5 linked regions of the Canis lupus familiaris genome follow. The protein of the gene in region 1 interacts with the protein of each later gene in a biochemical or structural test. Links are inferred from orthologs where the notes say so. Each region holds a gene or a part of one and is shown in the gene's direction. Other genes may lie near its edges.

Region 1 (3,514 bases):
TCTAGATTATTTTTAGCTCCAGTAGTTTTTATATTCAGAAAATCACTTAACTTTTGTCACGCTGCATGTTCTTAACTGAGATGTTTTCTTGTTTTGTTTTTTTAGGGCTGCAGCAATGACTCTCCGCACGGTATTATTGTCATTGCAAGCCCTTTTGGCAGCTGCAGAACCGGATGATCCACAAGATGCAGTAGTAGCAAATCAGGTAAGACTTGCTTGTACTTACCTATGAATTTCTACTACTGTAGTGATTTGCAGTGTTAACACATGAGCATAGTTCTATTTAGAAAGACTAAATTTGGAAATGGTTTTCTTTCTCATGGTAAGATTATTTTGTCAGATGTAATAGCGAAAACCTACTGATTTTTAATACACTACTTTGAGTATATGATGCTTTTTAAAAAACTTAATGGAAATTTTCAAACACAATGTCAAAATATTTATATAGTGAATACGCATATTCCTACCTGCATCTGGATTCTGTGATTAGCATTTTACTATACGTGCTTTATCATGTGCGTATCTATCCATCCCTCCATTTAGTGATAATCCTTCCCTGGTAATTTTAACCAGCTCTTGCTGTGACTGAAGTGGCATAGTGTAAAAGTTACCAAGGATCTTAAAATTGCCAGATGGAATAAATATTTTTTAGTTTTGATCTTTCAGTTGATGTGATCTCCAAGGCAGAGGTCCGCAAATTACACCTAGAGTTATTGTTTTTGTAAATAATGTTTTATTGGAATACAGCCACATCCATTTGTTTACTTATCTGGTCCTGTGAGAAACCCTGTTCTACGCCATTAGGATTTACTGAGCTTTTTTTTTTGTCCCCCACTTGGAATTTTTTTCTTCTCTTAACTTCTAACATACTACTCTCTTCTCATCTTGGTAGTTGTAGTTATTCCTTCTTAGTTCCTACAATTATTTCTTTTCTTCCTTCTAAAAAGAGTTCCTTGGTTTAGACATCATTCCTTTTACTTTTACTGTTGTATATGGTCACATGGATGATCATATCTACACTGATACTATCACCTGTAAGTTGAGAAAATGTTTAGGCATTACCTCTCCTTGAGTGCAAGAGCCTGTTCAGAACTGGATAGTTATATATGTTTCATGGATACCTCAGCATAGCATTCCCAAAACTGAATGTAGAATCTTAAATCCTCAGGGCAGCGCGGGTGGCTCAGTGGTTTAGTGCCGACTTCAGCCCAGAGCGTGGTCCTGGAGACCTGGGATCGAGTCCCACATCAGCTCCCTGTATGGAGCCTACTTCTCCCTCTGCTTATGTCTGTGCCTCTCTCTCTCTCCGTGTCTCTCATGAATAAATAATCTTAAAAAAAAAATCTTAAATCCTGCAAACGTGACCATCCTTCTATGATACCATCGCCTATTTAGTTAAGTATCCAAGCCACAGACTTGAAATTCTCTGTGCCTTCTTTTCTCTTGGTGATTCCATTCCCAATATCTCTCATACTTCTCTGATCGGCCTTAGTTCACATTTTAAAAAATGTCTTAGTTCAACTGCTCTGATAGCTGTCCCTTCCTTCATCTACTTGATAGCAGTGAGCTTTTTAAAGTAGAAATCTTACTTTACTACTAAAAACTTATTAGAAGCTCGGATATCACCTACTTGGTAAATCCAGATTCTTTGGTTTGCAGAGTTTTTCCATGATTTAACTGTCCACAAAACCAGCTTCATCTCCTAAATTCTTATTATTCCTCGGACTCCCGTTTTTTATGGACTCCTGCTTTTTTTAAGATGTCATTCATTTCTACCCGTCAGTTCACCTGGTCTGCTATGTTTCCTCTGCCTGGTTCCTATTAATAAACCTGTTCCTTTCCCTTGAAAAGCTGTTTGCTCTGGGGTACCTGGGTGGCTCAGAGTTGAGCATCTGCCTTTGGCTCAGGTCGTGATCCTGGGCCCTGGGATCGAGTCCTGTATCAGGCTAGCCTCTCTCTCTTCCTCTCTCTCTCTCTCTCTCCCCCTCCCTCTCTCTCTCTCTCTCTCTCTCGAATGAATAATTAAGATCTGAAAAAAAAAATCTGTTCACTCCTTATTTTCTGTATATCCTTATTAATATAATGTTTGTTTCAGAGTGCTTAGAATTAGGGTTTTACATGCTATATATATGTGCTGTTCGTTCGCTTTTGGTAGTCGGCATGGCTTGAAGTCTCAACTTTGATTTCCTGTGGAGTTATGAGCCTCAAGGGCTGAGGCTGGACATGGAACTTTCTCCAGCTCCTAGAACAGTTCAATAATTTGACATATTTCCTTGTTTAGAATTCGCAAGAATTCTTAATACAAGTAGAAACTAGATGTATTATTTTAATATATAATAGAAGCATATCAGTCTTAGAATACTCAATACATATAATTTTACTTATTTTTCAAAAGATTTTACTTATTTTATTCATGAGAGAGACAGAGAGAGGCAGAGACATAGGCAGAGGGAGAAGCAGGCTCCCTGCAAGGGATGCCAGCACTCCAGAATCAGGCCCTGAGCCGAAGGCAGATGCTCAACCACTGAGCCACCCAGGCATCCCCATGTAAAGTACTTTTAAAAGGAATACTAAAGTGAATTGAACAGTTACTTTAAATGTATATACTTCCATTATTAAGTAATGTTGGTTCCAAAGTATTTAAGAATAAATTTATCTGGGCAGCCTGGGTGGCTCAGCGGTTTGGTGCCACCTTCAGCCCAGGGTGTGATCCTGGAGACCCAGGATCAAGTCCCACGTCAAGCTCCCTGCATGGAGCCTGCTTCTCCCTCTGCCTATGTCTCTGCCTCTCTCTCTCTTTCTCTGTATCTCTCATGAATAAATAAGTAAAATCTTTTAAAAAAACTAAAAGTACTGTATGGTGGGTTCATAAACATCTCAAAACATGGTATAAATTAAAATACTGCATATTAGGGCATCTGGTTGACTGACTCAGTCTGTGGAGCATGCAACTCTTGATCTCAGGATTGTAAGTTTGAGCTCCATGATGGGTGCAGAGATTACTTAAAAATCTTGTTTTTTCCTTTAAGTTGGCTCCATGCCCAACATTGAGCCAGAACTCAAAACCCCAAGTAAAAGAGTTGCATGCTTTACCTCTGAGCCAGCCAGGTGCCCCCAGAATAAAATCTTTCTTAAAAAGCCTTTGCACATGGTATTTTCTTGAATCACTGTATATTAATACAGTTTCAGCAAAATAGCAAAGTCCACTTGTATTCTATTCTGAGCTGTGGTTAATATGAAAGTTGGTTTGCCTGGGTGGCTCAGTGGTTGAGAGTCTGCCTTCAGCTTTGGGGCATAATCCTGGGGTCCGGGATTGAGTTCTGCATCGGGCTCCTGCATGGAGCCTGCTTCTCCCTCTGCCTGTGTCTCTGCCTCTCTCTCTTTCTCTCTTGTCTCTCTCATGAATAAATAAATTTAAAAATATATATATGAAAGTTGGTCACATTTGTTACTGTCCCTACAATTTTAGAAGCAGATAATTCTCTTTGGTTGTATAATGTTTCACACTTTGCAG
Region 2 (3,514 bases), on another chromosome or scaffold:
AGGATCAGGCCTGCATGTCCAGGTCCGTTCCGCTCCTGTAGTGGCCTCACACCTAGATCCAGAGCCCATAGGGTCTCTCAGTCTTGGAATTCCCATTTCAGGGCCTTCGGGACTTAATCTGGAAAACCATCAAGAAAATAGTTACTGTCGTTTTAGCAGAAAGTCCTCTTACAAATAGTCTTGCAGGGCATGGTGAATGTGTTAGAAATAACCGTTGAGGCAGCTGCTCCGTGGCTCAGTTTCTCTCTGGAACGTGCTATCTAGCTTATGGGGTAGAGTATTGAGCCTCATTAACTGAAGTCCCCAAATTACATGGCAGGATGGTTAAGCGTGCTTTTTCTAGTTCTCGATCCTGCAGGAGACCAGGGGGCGCTCTGTGGCCTCCTTGCCCCAGCACAGTCTTGGTGGTGACTGTCAAAGACAGGGCGCACACAGAGGAGTTGGGCTCAGAGATTGACATCCTCGCCCTGACATCCACCTGGTCAACCACCTGGAGGCTCACAAGATCCTAATTAGGGAAGCCTGTTGCCCCAAAAGAAGTGGCTTCCTTTTGTCACCTCGTGTAAGAGATTATTCCTGAGGTGTGGCCTCTCGCTGCTTTTACATTCTCCCAGGAGCCTTGGTGGCCATAGTTGGCTTGTAATTCTGAGTCCCCGCCCTGAGGGTAGGGGTAGCGCCCTTTTCTCAGTTACAGATCTTATATGCAGCGTCCACATGCCCAGCACTTCTCGGGACAGCACGGACCTCAGACGTCCGTCTCCTTGTCTTCTGAGTCACTGAAACACGCTTGCTGGTCCAGTGTTTCTCCACCCAGACCGCATTTCTCAGACTGCCCCCTACAAGCAAAAGTGTCCCAGGAATCCTTCTGCAATCTAATTTGGACTTTGCAGATCCAGTCGCCCTATACTGAACATGTCTCAAACCCACGAACTGCGTGTTCTTCTGGAATTCTGACCTCACGTTGCCCAGTGGCTTCCCGACTGGGGCCGCTGAGCTGTCCTGGTCGGTCCTCATGACCGTGTGCCCTGGCGCGAATACAGCCGTCCTAGAGAGGAGACTGTATTTTTTTTTTCCTCCCTGAAAGCTGTAGTGGAAGGGCTCTAAGCTGAGGAAGACTTTGGGAGTTAGGAGAGCATCTCTGTGGCAACTCTATTGAGGAAAAAACTATTCAAAGCATCCCTCTCTTGGTGACATTGGACAGTTTAAAATACCTTGAAACTCTCTGTGGCTTGACAGCAAAATCTAGTAACTGAAACAGATTGTACGTTTCTCTTAGGATCATGTTAGCCACGACCCTTTATGTTTAAGACTTCAGGGTTTTACCACTGACTTAGAAGATCTTGGACCTTGTGGCTGTGTGGGGGTCATCTCACAGTAGATTGGAAGCCGTTGGAAATCAATTGCCTTTTTTCCAGACGCTAATGTTTTTGGTACAAGTAAAATTAAGTTACCTGGTCTAGTAACTCTCTGCGTGTACATTACTTTTATTAAACTGATCAAAAAGAAAATGCAGGATATTAAATAATAATGATTTCTTACACAAACAGCCATCAGTGGCCTATGCACACACCACGCCGGGCCTACCTTCAGGCTGGGAAGAAAGAAAAGATGCTAAGGGACGCACATACTATGTCAATCATAACAATCGAACCACAACTTGGACTCGACCTATCATGCAGGTACGCAGATCGTCCTACAACCTAAAATCACAGGCTGTAGAAGCCCAAACGTATGTGAGCTCGGTGCTCCCGAGGTGAATGTATTGTTCTGAAAGAACCCGTGTTTAAGATCATGTTTCTCACAGAGAAGATGGGAACTCTAAGCCTAGTATTTGCCGGAGGAAGAATTCGGTCCTCAAGCCAGTCCACCCCTAGACACGGTTTAGGGAGCCCGTCCCAGGGTGGAGCTTCTCTCCCTTGATTTCTGAGGCTGGCGTTTACGCTGGGCTAGTGATTCATTTCTATTTCCTTTGACTGTACTTCTCGATCGTTGCCCCCATTATTATGTTTAATCATTTTCCTCCACGCTTGAAATAGGCCAGCCCTCTTATTATTGCTGGCTTACGTTGTTTGGGTCCACGCTCCTCATCACTCGCACAGGAGTCCTCCTCCTGCCAAGCTAACTTGTTTTTGCCTCCGAAATAGCTCGCCGAAGACGGTGCGTCCGGATCCGCCACAAACAGTAACAACCACCTAATCGAGCCTCAGATCCGCCGGCCCCGTAGCCTCAGCTCGCCGACCGTAACCTTATCTGCCCCACTGGAGGTGAGAAGGCCTCATCGGCTCACCGGCTCACCCCCTCCCGGGACTTCTCATCTCCTTGCTCATCTTACTTGGGTTTGAGTGGTTGCAGCCCCCTGTCCCCCCCTCCCCTCTCTCTCTGATGGGTCGTGGTGTTGTCGTGCAGCCTTCCTTCATGCTTCTCTGTGCCGCCCGGCTCGCACCCGTGGACTGCCCCCCTCTGATCCCCATTCTCATTCGGCTGCCCCCGCGGCTCCTTGTGCCCGAAGGGGGCGCCCCTCTGCCGGACACTCTCCATCTCTCCTTGTGTTTCGCTCTTGACTTGCACACGAACTCTTGCCGATACCAATGCTTACGTTGCGTTTCCAAACATAGCTGTCGCTTTGATCATTTTTCTTTTCCTTTCGACGGTAGGGCCTGTCACCGTGCGGGCATATGTGTTTCTGATGCACACGCACATCTCGAAGCCATTGCGGGGCATCTGCGGGTGCCTTCTGTTTGTGTGGTGTTGTTGCCATCCCTTCGCATCACAAACGTCAGAGTTAGAGAAGCCAGAGAGCAAGTGTGTGAAGTTCTGAGCTTGACGGTGTCTCAGACCTAGCTGCGGGCCCGTTCCCTGGGTCTGCGATGCTGCTGGCTGGGAGCCGATGGGGTCTGTTCCAAACTGGGATGGGAGTGCCGGGGGGTAGCAACCTGCTGGTCCGGACGGCTGTCTCTGTTGGTACGGGTTTTGCTTTCTGTGCTCTAAAAATTGCCAACCCCTTCTTCATTAGACTGTGAGCTCATTAAGAGCAGGGGCATGTGTTTCTCCACCCTCTGTAAAATTTCCATCCGTAACGTTCAATACAGAACAATACTTGGGGTGCGCACTGAATAGCTGTCCACGGACCTTGGGTATAAGTACTTAATATTGTCATGTGTTTAACCAACCAGAAAACTTTAAAGTTAGATGGGTTGAAAAGTAGATGAATGACAGAAACGGGTTTTAGAGCTTCTCCCTTGTACCTCTTCAGAGAGCAGTGTCCCTGTGTACCCAGGTACATTTTGACCCTCCCCCCGGAATAGCAGCTGGTAAGAGTTCTAATGCTCGTTATTATTCCTTAGGGTGCCAAGGATTCGCCCATACGTCGGGCTGTGAAAGATACCCTTTCCAATCCACAGTCCCCACAGCCATCACCTTACAACTCCCCCAAACCACAACACAAAGTCACACAGAGCTTCCTGCCGCCCGGCTGGGAAATGAGGATAGCGCCCAACGGCCGGCCCTTCTTCAT
Region 3 (3,969 bases), on another chromosome or scaffold:
ACAGAAACCGCTCAGGTTAGGTCGAGGTTTCCCGCCAGGAGCGAGGGCTCCGGCAGGGGGTTTGCGCCCCCGCGCGGGGCACGACTCAGGAAGAGCGGCAGCTCGTCCCGCTAGGCCGGGCCCGACCTCCGACACCCCGACCTGCCGGCCGCACTTCCCGGGCCAGGACCTCCGCTCTGCACTCCTGCAGCCCTTAGAGGGCCGGCGGCTGCCCCTGGGCCCCTAGGGCTCCCCGCCCTAAGGTGCGGCGCGGGCGGTTCAGGCCGCGTCCTCAACGGGGCCACCGGGTGCGGGTGACCCGCTCACCGACGAACGCCCGCCCCTCACCTGAATATCCGCGTCCGACACTCCGAAATCCAGGTTGGACACCAGCAGTTTCCCACCCGTCTCCACGCCGGCGCCGCCCCCGAAGCCGCTGTCGAAGAGATCGTGCTGCCACTTGTCGGGAAGTTGTTTCGGCTGCGGGGGGAGGAGAGCACAGGAGCACGCGGCCCGTGAGCGTCTCCCGCGGACCCTGCGGCGCCCGCACGCCCCCGCCCGCCGTCCCCCCGGCGTCCCGGGCGCCGCCGCTCCCTCCGACCCGCTTCCCGCCGCCTGCGCGGCCGCGCCCAACGCCCGCCGCCGCCACGAGGCCCAGCGCCCGGCCCAGACAAAGGCCCGGAGGGTCTCCGCCGCCCCGGGCGGCCGCCGCGCGCCCCCCCGCCCGCCCGGCCCGAGCCCCCCGGCCCGCCGCCCGCGCCCCCGCGCGCCCCCGCCCGCCGGCCCGCCGCCCCGCTCACCCTGCTGTAGGGCGCCGGCCGGTTCCTGCCGCCGCCGCCCGCCGCGCCGCGGGCGAGGGCCGGTCGGTTCCGGATGGGCCCGCCGCCCCGGCTCACTCGCGCGGCGGCCTGCGCCCCGCCACCGCGGCCGCCCTGGGAGCCGGCCCGGCCGCGGCCCCGACCTCCGCCGCGGCCGCCTCGCTGGCTCCGGTTCAGCTTGATGATGTCGTCCAGAGACATGTCCATTTTGTCGGCCATGGCGGGCGCGGAGTCGGCCTCGGCTCGAGCCCGCGCGTCAGCACGTCGGCGCGTCACTTCCGGGGCCGCGCGCGGCCTGCCGGGACCGAGGCCGGGGCCGCCGGGGATTGGCCGCGGCGGGCGGGAGCGAGGGCGGGCAGGGCGGGCGGGAGCGGGGGCGCGTGCGCCGGACGGCGGGCTCGGCGGGCGCAGCTGAGGTGCCGGCGGCGGCCGCGGCCGCTTTTATACCTTCCCACGCGGGCGCCGCCGACGGAAGGCGGGGTCGGCGCGCGGAGGCCGGCGGGGGGCGCAGGTGGGCGGGGCCGCGGGGCGGGGCGGGCGGCTCCCCTCCCCTCCCCCCCCCCTCCCCGCGCCCCGGCCTCGCGCCCTCCCCGCGCTCCCGCACCTCCCCCACCACTTCCTGCGCCTCCCTCCGCACCCCTGCGTCTCCCCTGCCCTCTCCCCGCACCCCGGCGCCTTCCCTACCCCCTTCAGGCACCCCCGCTCCTTACCCCACCCTCTCCCCACACCCCTACCCCTTCCCCTACTCTTTGCTCGCACCCCTGCGCCTTCCGCTCCGCCCTTCCCCCCCCACCGCTTCCCCACATCCCACTCTCCACACACCCTGGTCCCTCCCTGCACCTCACTTTCTCCTGGCCTCTGCGCACTCCTTCTGCATGCTCCTGCCCTCACCCCTTCCCCCGCAACCCCGGGTCCTGCCCGGCACCCCCCACTCTGCACCCTCACCCTGGGGTGGTGGCGCAGGCCTAGTGGGCTGGGTGGTGGTTCCCTGGCGTGAACTCGTGGTCACCTGGGTTGGGGTCTCTATTTGTCAACCCCGATTTAGTCGTATCTCTTTGAAAAAAACCCGTATGGTACGTTTTTGGAATTACTGGCGAAGCCCATGTGCCCTTTTGGGGACGCAGGGCGGACCCTGCAGTCTTCGCCGATAACTCTGGCTCTGGGGCGCGCTGTTCTCCCAAGGGTGGCCCGGGCCCTGCCATTGCCGCTGGTGCAGAGCTCTCAGGGTTTCTGAGCTCTGGCAGCAGGTCCGGCCCCGGCTGACCCTCGGCTGGGAGCCGCGCCCCTTGGGTGCCTAGATGGGTAGCTGTGCAGACTGAGTGTGGCCCGGCGATGTCTCCTCCCCCTGTAGGCTCCGCGGCCATGAAGGTGAAGATCAAGTGCTGGAACGGCGTGGCTACTTGGCTCTGGGTGGCCAACGACGAGAACTGTGGCATCTGCCGGATGGCCTTTAATGGCTGCTGCCCAGACTGTGAGTGTGCCCTGTGCTCCCTCCCCCTCGAGCTTTGCCTGCGGGCCTGGCCAGGGCATCTCCTCGGAAACACCTGCGCAAGGTGCTTGGGTTTTGGGGTCACTCTGCTCAACACAAGCTGACAGAAGAAAGGCAGGTGGTTTGGGCCCATGATTGTGTGAGGAGCCCATGGAAAGTTCTGTAAGAGAGGGCCGTGTGGCTTTTTACTGTGCTCACAGTCAGCCGTGACGCCCGTGGGCCGGGGGACGCTGGAGCGCCACGGGACGATTCTCCAGCGGGCACGCAGGCTGTCGTGGGGGTGCCCGTCCCCTCGGCCAGCGCCCACCGTCGCTGCTAAGCGCTGCTAAGGGCTGTGTTCACGTCCTGGCTTGGAAGTGGCTTCTGGGGCCCGGCTCCCCTCCAGCCCAGTCACTAAGTGTAGCACTGTCACACCGGACGTGACGATAAGCCCTCAGTGTCCCCCCATTCCTGGTGCTTGCTCACGTTGTCTCAGGTGTCCGTGCGTGTGCTCGCTCAGCCCTGCCCTGGCTGTTGAACGTGAATATAGAACAGGCGCTTCCATTCCTCTCCCTCGTTTTTCAAGGCATCTGACCTTTCAGCAAAGTGGTTGTGTCACGCCACAGAGTGCCCACCGCCAGGTTTTATCAGACCTCTCTGGTGGTTTTTGTCTCACCTCTGTCCCATCACGTTCTGGTGAAGTAGAAATGCTTGAGTGTATTTTCTTTTTTTATTTTTGCTTGAGTGTATTTTTAAGTCAAAAACAGGCTTTTGCATCAGCGAATTGTGTTTTTAGCCAAACCAAAGTGAACTTAAGCAGAAGCAGGTTGACCCTTGGGGGGACAGGGGCAGTCCCAAGAGGAAAATGAGACCTGGGGGGACTGAGGGGCCCCTCTGGCCTGTAAGTGACCAGGCTTTTTGTGGGGTCAGGAGAGCGCCCAGAATAACCGGGGTTATTCTTACAGTGAAATTCAAATTATTGAGTTTTAGTGCAAATACTATTTTGTTATGGCCTTGATCTTTACTTTGGCCGAGAGAAAATCTCATCTCCCAGGACTTAATCCATCCTGATTGAATCAGTCAGGTGGGATGTGACCGTAGGAAGTCACTGATTGGCTCTACTTGATTAAGTTTTACTTAGCAGTAAAGCTCACGATCTGGTTTTACTGATTCTGTTTTAATCACTCTCAGGTGCGTCCTTAGGGACACAGCAGAGGCAGTGGGAGCCTGCAGGGGCGCACACTTGCAGCTTCTTGAGCCACAGATTGTTAGCTTCTGGAAAGAGAAGTCTTGGAAAGCATTGCCCTAGACTGGACGTGGGAGCGTGAGCGGTGTGTTGGCGTTGGCGCGGAGCCTGCGGAGCCCAGCTTGTGCCGTTGCAGCTGGGCCTGTGGCTGGCATACCTGTGTTTGCCGGAGTGCTCAGGTCTTGTGGAAGGGGACCCGTTGGCTGAGAGTAGGGGGCTTGGAGCCTCATCTTCAGAGCCAATCCTACCGTGCAGAGTGTGTGACGAGCCTTTATACAGGTGAAGTGACACTGGGTTCCTCTTGCTAAAATTGAGTTCTTGTGAAATACCCTGAGTGACTAAGACTAATAATCTGCTCCCAGGCCCAGAGGGCTTTGGGAGTAAGTCTTCTCGAGAGGTGTTTTCTTTACTAAAGATTTCCATCGAGAGGCAAACAAGCCCTTGGGTGAGTCACCGCT
Region 4 (4,066 bases), on another chromosome or scaffold:
GTCATTGAGAAGATGCTTAGTTGATGAGAGCAAAGATATGAAATGAAAATATTGTAGCCTAGGGCAGCCCGGGTGGCTCAGCGGTTTAGCGCCGCCTTCAGCCCAGGGCGTGATCCTGGAGACCCAGGATGGAGTCCCATTTCGGGCTCACTGCACCGAGCCTGCTTCGACCTCTGCCTGTGTCTCTGCCTCTCTCTCCGTGTGTCTCTCATGAATAAATAAAGTCTTAAAAAAAAGAAAATATTCTAGCCTATATATAGTTATAGAGGTGGGAACAAGTTTGGTTTGTTGGAAGAATATTGAGAAAACGTGTAGTGGCAGTGTTATCTGGAAACAGAAAACAAAAAAATGTAAAAAGAAACACAGAAACACCCTAAAAACTTGGACAAGATTGTTTTTTTAAGTTAACTGTGAAAACAGGAATTGGATGCTGTGTGGTCGGTTCCCTAACTTCCTTCAGGCATTAATACCATCTAAGAAAGGCCTTCCTTAACTGTCTTTTTACAAATTCCAACGTTATCAGATTTTCCCATCCTGTTACAATCATCGCCCCTTTTCAAGCATTTCAGAAAATTACCATCTCAGAGAGGCCATCTCTAACCACTCTTTAAAATTGCAATTCCCATTTACCCCCACCCAGCACTCTCCCACCCCACCCCCTTTCCGAATCTTTTTTCTCCCCAGCATTTATCACCGATAGATATAGATATATAGTAATTATTGTCCCTCCCCCAAGTACTAGGAACCATGAGAAAGTAGAATATAAAGAACCGTAAGAACTGGGATTTTGGTCCGTTTTAATTTCCGTTGTATTCCCAACATCTACTACAATGCTTGACATACAGTTGGCACTCGATAAATATATGTTGAATAAAAGGTAAGACGCTGTTCAACTTAGTCTGGACCAATTGTGTGAATTGACGCCAGGTTGGACTAGTATCGCATTTCTCGCTCTCTGAAAAGGGCTTCAAGCAGTCAAGTGGTGACGTTCTTCAGTTTTCAAAAACGGGAGAGCTAAGGTTCCCACAGTTCTCAGAACGCGAATTTCTCGCCACAATTCAAAATGGCGGAGGAGGGTGGGGCCTGTCACATGGTGGGCGTCACAGCAGCTCTCCTTTTCCAGACTGCTGGCCCGCCTTGCCGCGTCGTCTGCTGCCCCCTTCTTCCTCCCGCCGAGCCTTTTCGAGGAATCGCCTGGGATTGGCTAATAGGCTGGGAGTGGGGCTGCAGGGCCGGGACGCGGCATCATCACTTCCTGTTGTGGGCTGTCGTTTCCTGTCGCTGCTTGGTAACAATGGGGAAGATAATGGCTGCCTGAGCAACGTCTCGGAGCAGGCGCTAGGCTAGAGGCGGGTCTCAACCAGCGACTCATCGGAGGCGGGCTTGAGAGCAGCGGCAGGGGAGGCGCGCAGGATCCTCAGCGGCGGCAGCAGCCAAACCGACGGAGTCGGACCCGACACTAAAACCGAGTAAGTGAAGCCTTGGGAAATCCTCTTGAGAAATGGATGGAGAGCGAGGGAAAGACAGCGGAGCTGCAGCTGCCGTGTTCTCTCAAAATGGCCTGAGTCCCGCGTTGTGGCGGACGCTCAGCACCGCCTCCGGACCCCAGGCGCTGATTGCTGCGGGGGGCTCCGTGGCGTAGTCGCCGCTGCCATTTTAGTCACAGTCTCTTGAAGAAGGGGAAGGAGGTGGGTAGTACTTCCTCTCCGTGGCGGTGCGAGCCAAAGCCGGGGGCCCTCCACAGTCTGGAGAAATTGGGGGAGGCGATTTTTGAGTGTTGGCCTCAGGCGTGAGAATCTTTGATAGTCTTAAATTTTTCTCTTTGGTTATCTGGAGGCGTCCCTCGCCTTCCCATCCCCCCTTTTATATGGCGGGCTTGGGTTTGGGAAAAGGGGGAAATATCAGTCTGCTCTAAGTCAGCTGCTGGGAACTCTTGGGCCTTAGATTTCCCAGGATTTGCAAAACCCCATTTTGAGCCCTTTTGCTGGGTACTATCAATTAGGCGCCCCCTGGGGCCACGATGACATCTTCCCTGAGGATCCGGGGCAACTGTGGTTTTGCTCCCTTACTCAATAACCCTGGCATAGCCCTTGCCAGATATCACTGCAAGGATCCCCTGAAAAGGCAGGGAAAAGCCATTGCGTGTTGTTTTTTCCCTGGGTAAGGGTGGGAATTGGGCCAAATGATTTTCAACTTAATTTCCGTTCAATCCGGCAACAACCCAACCCCTCCCCCCTCAAAGAGAAAAGCCTAAGGGTCTCGGCTTTTGCGGGCGGTACCTGCCACGTACGCCATAGCTTTAGTAACTAGTATTAACCGGTTGGGCTTCTGCTTCCTGAATACTCAGTCCCTTTTTCCCTTATGCTGATTAATTTCAAGATGGAGGAGACAGCCACGTTCCTTCCCTAGACAGTTTCCCCATACTTATTCCACAGGTTACTCTGGGAATCTGAGGCCTAGCAGTCTTGTTATTTAGGTCATTCTTTTTGTTTGGGGGCAAGAGGAAGCATTTATATCAGGTTGTCATCCACCATTTGCGAGGTCCCACATTAATTTTTTGGTGCAAATAAAGAGCCCGCATTTCCTCAATCAGAATTAACCGCAGTCGCTTTGGATGATTGAAGGGAGGAAGAAATAAATGTACTATAGTCGTTTCTACTACTAGAAACATGTATTTGATTCTTCCTCATTAAAGACAAAATTACTCATATCACCCTATCAGGTACGTTATGTCCATCCTGAATGACTTGCGACCAGGCAGGCACAATTAGAGCCCTCCAAAAATCAGTTTTCTAGATTATAAAAATAAAGTACCCAGGAAGACCAATCCAGATGCTTTTTAAAGTATGATTTAGGAAACTGTTGCACTGAAAAATGTTTCATTCTTTAGCCTAAGTATCTTGATGATCTTTCATACTTTAGTTTCTCCATAGACTACTGTAATGTGCCAAGTAAGTCCTTGAAAGTATCAGAATCTGAAAATATTACTGGTTTGAAAAAGAAAGGCCTATTTTAAGCAAGCTTATATTAAAAGGTAGATTGGCTTTCAGCCTTTAAAGAAAATCTGATATCTAACACAAGATTCCTGGTTTCCTCTGACCTTCTCCATCTTCCCAAATATCCTAATTAGGTTGGGTTATGGGGTGTGTAACTTAAGATATATAGGATGTGTTTTTTTGAGGATGTGTCTATTTCATAGAAAATGTGTATCTTATGAAAGAGGAAGAATAATGGATTCTTTTTTTTTCTAGAGCAGAGAGTGAAGAAAACTAAAATCCAGTTTATTGTATTACAATACTATGTCATAACAGTCAGGTAATTTATTTTTTGTTGCGTCTCCTGATGATTTATGTGTAGAATGCATGTTTAAAAATATTTATTTTGTATTGCAGGCCCTGTAATTGGATGGGCTTATTTGATATATGTTTATTGGTGTTGGGCATTTTTCATAATGAGAATGGGTATTTTTCATTGGGAATTCAAAGGGTAGTGTGTCTGAATAACTGAAACTCTGCTAGTGTTTATCTGTGAATTTTCCTCTTTTAAAATAATGTCTGAAGTTTACCAGTACCCATATAAAACAGAAAGAACAAAATAGAAATTTGCTGCTTTAAATCATTGTTGGTGGGATGGGTCTAAATAAATAGCGTTTAAATGTTCATTGAATAACTAAATGAAATATCAGTAGAATATCTTGCAGGAATGTAATCTTACATTATTTTGTGTGGTGTTCATTTTTTTCCTTTAAGATCCAAAATGTCATAATTAATATATAATACTCTGATATTAACTCCTTTCATCATCATCATCATTGTTAAGGTAAGCACATAATTTATTGCCTTAACCAGGATGCTTTTTTTATGCCAACAGGTGCAAACCTGTATTGTGCCAAGCAAACGGGGATGGAGTTAGCCTAAATTCATAACTAACTTGAATGCTTATGTGCTGTGTCCTGTGCTTCACATGCATGACTTTATAATCTTCACAGCAAAGCCTTGTGAGGATATTAGCTGTTTTACCTAGTTAACTGAGACTCAAGGAAGTTAAACATTTTGTCCTCAATTAA
Region 5 (3,514 bases), on another chromosome or scaffold:
GGGTCACTCTTCTCTGCCAGATGGAGTCTAGGTCATTCAGGGGCTCGAGCTGGGAAGCCTTCTATGGGGGACAGTGCCCTGTTTGCCTGCCTGGGATCTGTTCCCCTTTCTTTTTTCTTTTTTTTTTTTTTTTTAAAGATTTTGTTTATTCATGAGAGACACAGAGAGAGGCAGAGACACAGGCAGAGGGAGAAGCAGGCTCCATGCAGGGAACCTGACTTGGGACTCTATCCCAGGTCTCCAGGATCAGGCCCTGGGCCGAAGATGGCACTAAACTCACTAAACTGCTGAGCCACCCGGGCTGCCCTTTTTTTTTTTTTTTTTAAAGATGTTCTCCTTTCCATTCAGTGATGTCATCGGTAGTCATTGGCCTAGGCACCGCTTTCGGCACTTGGGATACAGCAAGGAAACACAGGTTCTAAGGAGGGAGGACAGACCATAAGCAAGCAATACAGTATAATAAATTTGTAGTTAATGTTGATGAGTGCTGTGCAAAGGAAACAACCAAAGCAAGCTAAGGGAAGTTGGGCCTGTCTGGAAGACAGGTTGGCAGTTTCGATTATAATGGTTAGGAAAGGGCTCAGTCCTGCACACCTGGAGGGTAGAAGGGAGTAGAGACCCCTTTTCTGGGTTCAGAGCACCCTAGGCCAGGATCCTGTTGGCGGGGTGGGATGTAGGAGATGAGCTAGAGGAAGTAGGGGCTAACTCATTTTCTCCTCTGTGGAGGGGGAAGCCAGAGGAGGGTTTTGAGCAGAGGAGGGATGTGACTGACCTAGGCTTTGGAAAGATCCTGTTTTGTTTGAGAGGATGGACCCCAGGCCTGGGTGCTATTACCGGAAAGAACAATAGGTGTTGGGTAGTCATAGAAACAGATGGTGGCCTCTTGCTTCTCGTCTACATTTGTTCATTGCTTCGCTTTCCACTGAGCCCCTGCCACTACTGTCACAGCCCTAGCCATGTGGTACTGTCACAGACTATTTCCTGCTAAATCAGGGAGCCTTCTGAACTCAGAGCCTGGTTTTTCCCAGGCATTAAGTAAACCCATTTTTAGGAGGATGGCCCTGTAGAGGTTTGTTGGGTGAATGCATGAATAACTGAGTTCTGTGTTTCCCTGTCCCACCCTTATCCCCCTTAGAAGTTAAAGTCTGACACAGCCGCTGCAGCTGTGCGCCAGATGAATCCGCACATCCGGGTGACAAGCCACCAGAACCGTGTGGGCCCTGACACAGAACGCATCTATGATGATGATTTCTTCCAAAACCTGGATGGTGTGGCCAATGCCCTTGACAACGTGGATGCCCGTGAGTTTGGAGGCGGGTGAGGAGGTGGGCGGGGGGAGGTGGTGTGCATGTGTGCCATCAGGGATGCCTGTCTTTCCATCCTCTGTTGACATTCCTGTCCTGACACATGTGCCCCCCCCACACACACACACCCTATCCTCCTTAGGCATGTACATGGACCGCCGTTGTGTGTACTACCGCAAGCCGCTACTGGAGTCTGGCACACTGGGTACCAAGGGCAACGTGCAGGTGGTGATCCCCTTTCTGACAGAGTCCTACAGCTCTAGCCAGGATCCGCCTGAGAAGTCCATCCCCATCTGCACCCTGAAGAACTTCCCCAACGCCATCGAGCACACTCTGCAGGTGATCAGCTTTTTTGGGGGGAAGGGGCAGGGAGGGGAGGGAGCAGGCACCTTCATGGCAACTAGGCCCCCTCCCCCTCCGGTGTCACCAGCCAAAGCTCAAGATGTGCTTTCTCTCCAAACTTTCCTCCCTCGCTTCCCATCCCAACAGCCTGGGTTTCTAGAGCGATTTCATTCATCTTTCATTTTGAAAAGTTTTCAACACAGAAAGACAAAGAGCGGTATGGTGAACACTCAGCGTTCGTCACCTAGATGTAATAGTTAATGTTTTGACACATTTTCTTCTTAGATTGCCATATCTTTCCTTCTTTGTGCTGAAGTGTCTCATAGGTATCACAACACTTAACTCCTTAACATTCTAACAGGCATCTGTGAGGGAAGTATGTTCTGCCTAACAGGGTCTCTTCGACCTCGGCATTGTTGACATTGGGGGCCAGGTATTTCCTTGCCAGTGCAGGGTGGATGGGTGGGTGGGTGGCTTCTGCACTGTCTAGTGCTTAGCGGCATCCCTGGCTGCAGGAGGGTGCGGTTGCGGCTACTCACAAGGTCTCCAGACATTGTCAGATATCCCCCCACTCCTCCAGGGGGCAAAATCGCTCCCAGGTGAGGACCACTGCTATCTAACCCAAATCCTGCTTGCACGCTGAACAAAATTACTGGTGATTACCTCCTGCAGTTATTTAGGTCTTTAATGTTTTAGTTCTTCTTCACGTGTCACCAGGTGATGCTCAGAATGGCTTCAACAGCTAGTTTCTCAGGATGATCCTGTGCACCTCTCACCAGGCTGAGTCTTGATAAAGTGAACGCACCTATGTAACTGGTATACCAGGGCCACGAAGGAGAACCTAAGGGTGACCTGAGGATAACGATTGTGCTATCAGAGTGACTGTAGTCTTCGAGAACAAACCATTCAGAGTGTTCAGTTAGGAGCAAGGGGGGGGTTGGCGAGATCCAAACAGGGCAAAACTGGCTTCCTCGGCCACCTTCCTTTCTGCCTGTAGTTCCAGAGTATGCACGTTCATATTTGTGGGCCCTCCATGGTCTCACTGAGCCGTGTGTGACTTTGGATTCTACCTCATCGTGCCTGACTCTTCTGTGAAACGGGGCTGACAGCATTGTCAGTCTCATGGTTGCGAAGCACTTGGCATTTACTTGTATTTGGTGCTGTTTAAGCGAATTTTTGAGTGGATACATCCTTGCTCATTTCTTTGCAAGCCCACCTCATGATAGGTATTACTGGTAACGATATCTGTTTTAGGAAGGAGAATGCAAAGGTAAGTGTTGCTGTGTGTTTCTAAAGTCCCAAAACTAGATACTAGGTAGGAGAGCTGGGGTTTGAACCTAGATGTCCTCTCCTCCCAGCCTTCCACCAGTGAATGCATTTACTGTCTTTAGGAATTTTCAGAGTACAGGAATTCCTTAGGAATTTACAGAGTGTCTGGTTTACTGCTCAGCCCCAGGGCCTGTATGGCAATCATTTTTGATTTGGGTCTGATGGTTTTTTTCTTTTTTAAAACTGGTAAAATATACATAGCTAAAAGTTTGGTTTTTGTTGTTTTTTTTTAATCGAGACATAATGGATCTCTAGTGAGGTACACAAATCCTTAATAATTTTATTCCGTGGCCCAAATCAAGTTCATTCGTTTTTAAATTGAGGCACTGGGGGTGTGGGGAAGATGGGGGAGCAGGGGCGGAAGGTTTCTCTTTGCTCAGAGCAGCGGTGTTCTTCTAACTGGGTTTATTTACGGACAGTCTTTTAATTTTTATTTATTTATGATAGTCACAGAGAGAGAGAGAGAGAGGCAGAGACACAGGCAGAGGGAGAAGCAGGCTCCATGCACCGGGAGCCTGACGTGGGATTCGATCCCGGGT

Evidence for each region.
Region 2: the proteins of UBE2K (region 1) and NEDD4L form a complex in vitro, tested with the Homo sapiens proteins (2 studies listed by BioGRID). The link is inferred for Canis lupus familiaris from reciprocal best matches to the Homo sapiens genes UBE2K and NEDD4L.
Region 3: the proteins of UBE2K (region 1) and ANAPC11 form a complex in vitro, tested with the Homo sapiens proteins (3 studies listed by BioGRID). The link is inferred for Canis lupus familiaris from reciprocal best matches to the Homo sapiens genes UBE2K and ANAPC11.
Region 4: the proteins of UBE2K (region 1) and RLIM form a complex in vitro, tested with the Homo sapiens proteins (2 studies listed by BioGRID). The link is inferred for Canis lupus familiaris from reciprocal best matches to the Homo sapiens genes UBE2K and RLIM.
Region 5: of the proteins of UBE2K (region 1) and UBA1, one has a biochemical effect on the other in vitro, tested with the Homo sapiens proteins (9 studies listed by BioGRID, with this or other methods). The link is inferred for Canis lupus familiaris from reciprocal best matches to the Homo sapiens genes UBE2K and UBA1.

Annotation. Positions count from the first base shown.
Region 1 is NC_049224.1:73,290,152-73,293,665, reverse strand, and holds part of UBE2K (ubiquitin-conjugating enzyme E2 K), read left to right. Parts: intron 1-105; coding exon 106-205; intron 206-3,514. UniProt on the Homo sapiens protein: Accepts ubiquitin from the E1 complex and catalyzes its covalent attachment to other proteins. In vitro, in the presence or in the absence of BRCA1-BARD1 E3 ubiquitin-protein ligase complex, catalyzes the synthesis of 'Lys-48'-linked polyubiquitin chains.
Region 2 is NC_049222.1:17,786,277-17,789,790, reverse strand, and holds part of NEDD4L (E3 ubiquitin-protein ligase NEDD4-like), read left to right. Parts: intron 1-1,547; coding exon 1,548-1,679; intron 1,680-2,144; coding exon 2,145-2,264; intron 2,265-3,344; coding exon 3,345-3,514. UniProt on the Homo sapiens protein: E3 ubiquitin-protein ligase that mediates the polyubiquitination of lysine and cysteine residues on target proteins and is thereby implicated in the regulation of various signaling pathways including autophagy, innate immunity or DNA repair.
Region 3 is NC_049230.1:1,219,905-1,223,873, reverse strand, and holds the start of ANAPC11 (anaphase-promoting complex subunit 11), read left to right. Parts: upstream 1-1,162; 5' UTR 1,163-1,308; intron 1,309-1,412; exon of another isoform or gene 1,413-1,870; intron 1,871-2,148; 5' UTR 2,149-2,159; coding exon 2,160-2,268; intron 2,269-3,969. Other genes in the region: ALYREF (THO complex subunit 4), read right to left, coding at 328-459, 780-1,016. UniProt on the Homo sapiens protein: Together with the cullin protein ANAPC2, constitutes the catalytic component of the anaphase promoting complex/cyclosome (APC/C), a cell cycle-regulated E3 ubiquitin ligase that controls progression through mitosis and the G1 phase of the cell cycle.
Region 4 is NC_049260.1:58,047,701-58,051,766, reverse strand, and holds the start of RLIM (E3 ubiquitin-protein ligase RLIM), read left to right. Parts: upstream 1-1,253; 5' UTR 1,254-1,469; intron 1,470-3,251; exon of another isoform or gene 3,252-3,315; intron 3,316-3,749; exon of another isoform or gene 3,750-3,819; intron 3,820-4,066. UniProt on the Homo sapiens protein: E3 ubiquitin-protein ligase.
Region 5 is NC_049260.1:41,000,380-41,003,893, forward strand, and holds part of UBA1 (ubiquitin-like modifier-activating enzyme 1), read left to right. Parts: intron 1-1,135; coding exon 1,136-1,301; intron 1,302-1,446; coding exon 1,447-1,643; intron 1,644-3,514. UniProt on the Homo sapiens protein: Catalyzes the first step in ubiquitin conjugation to mark cellular proteins for degradation through the ubiquitin-proteasome system.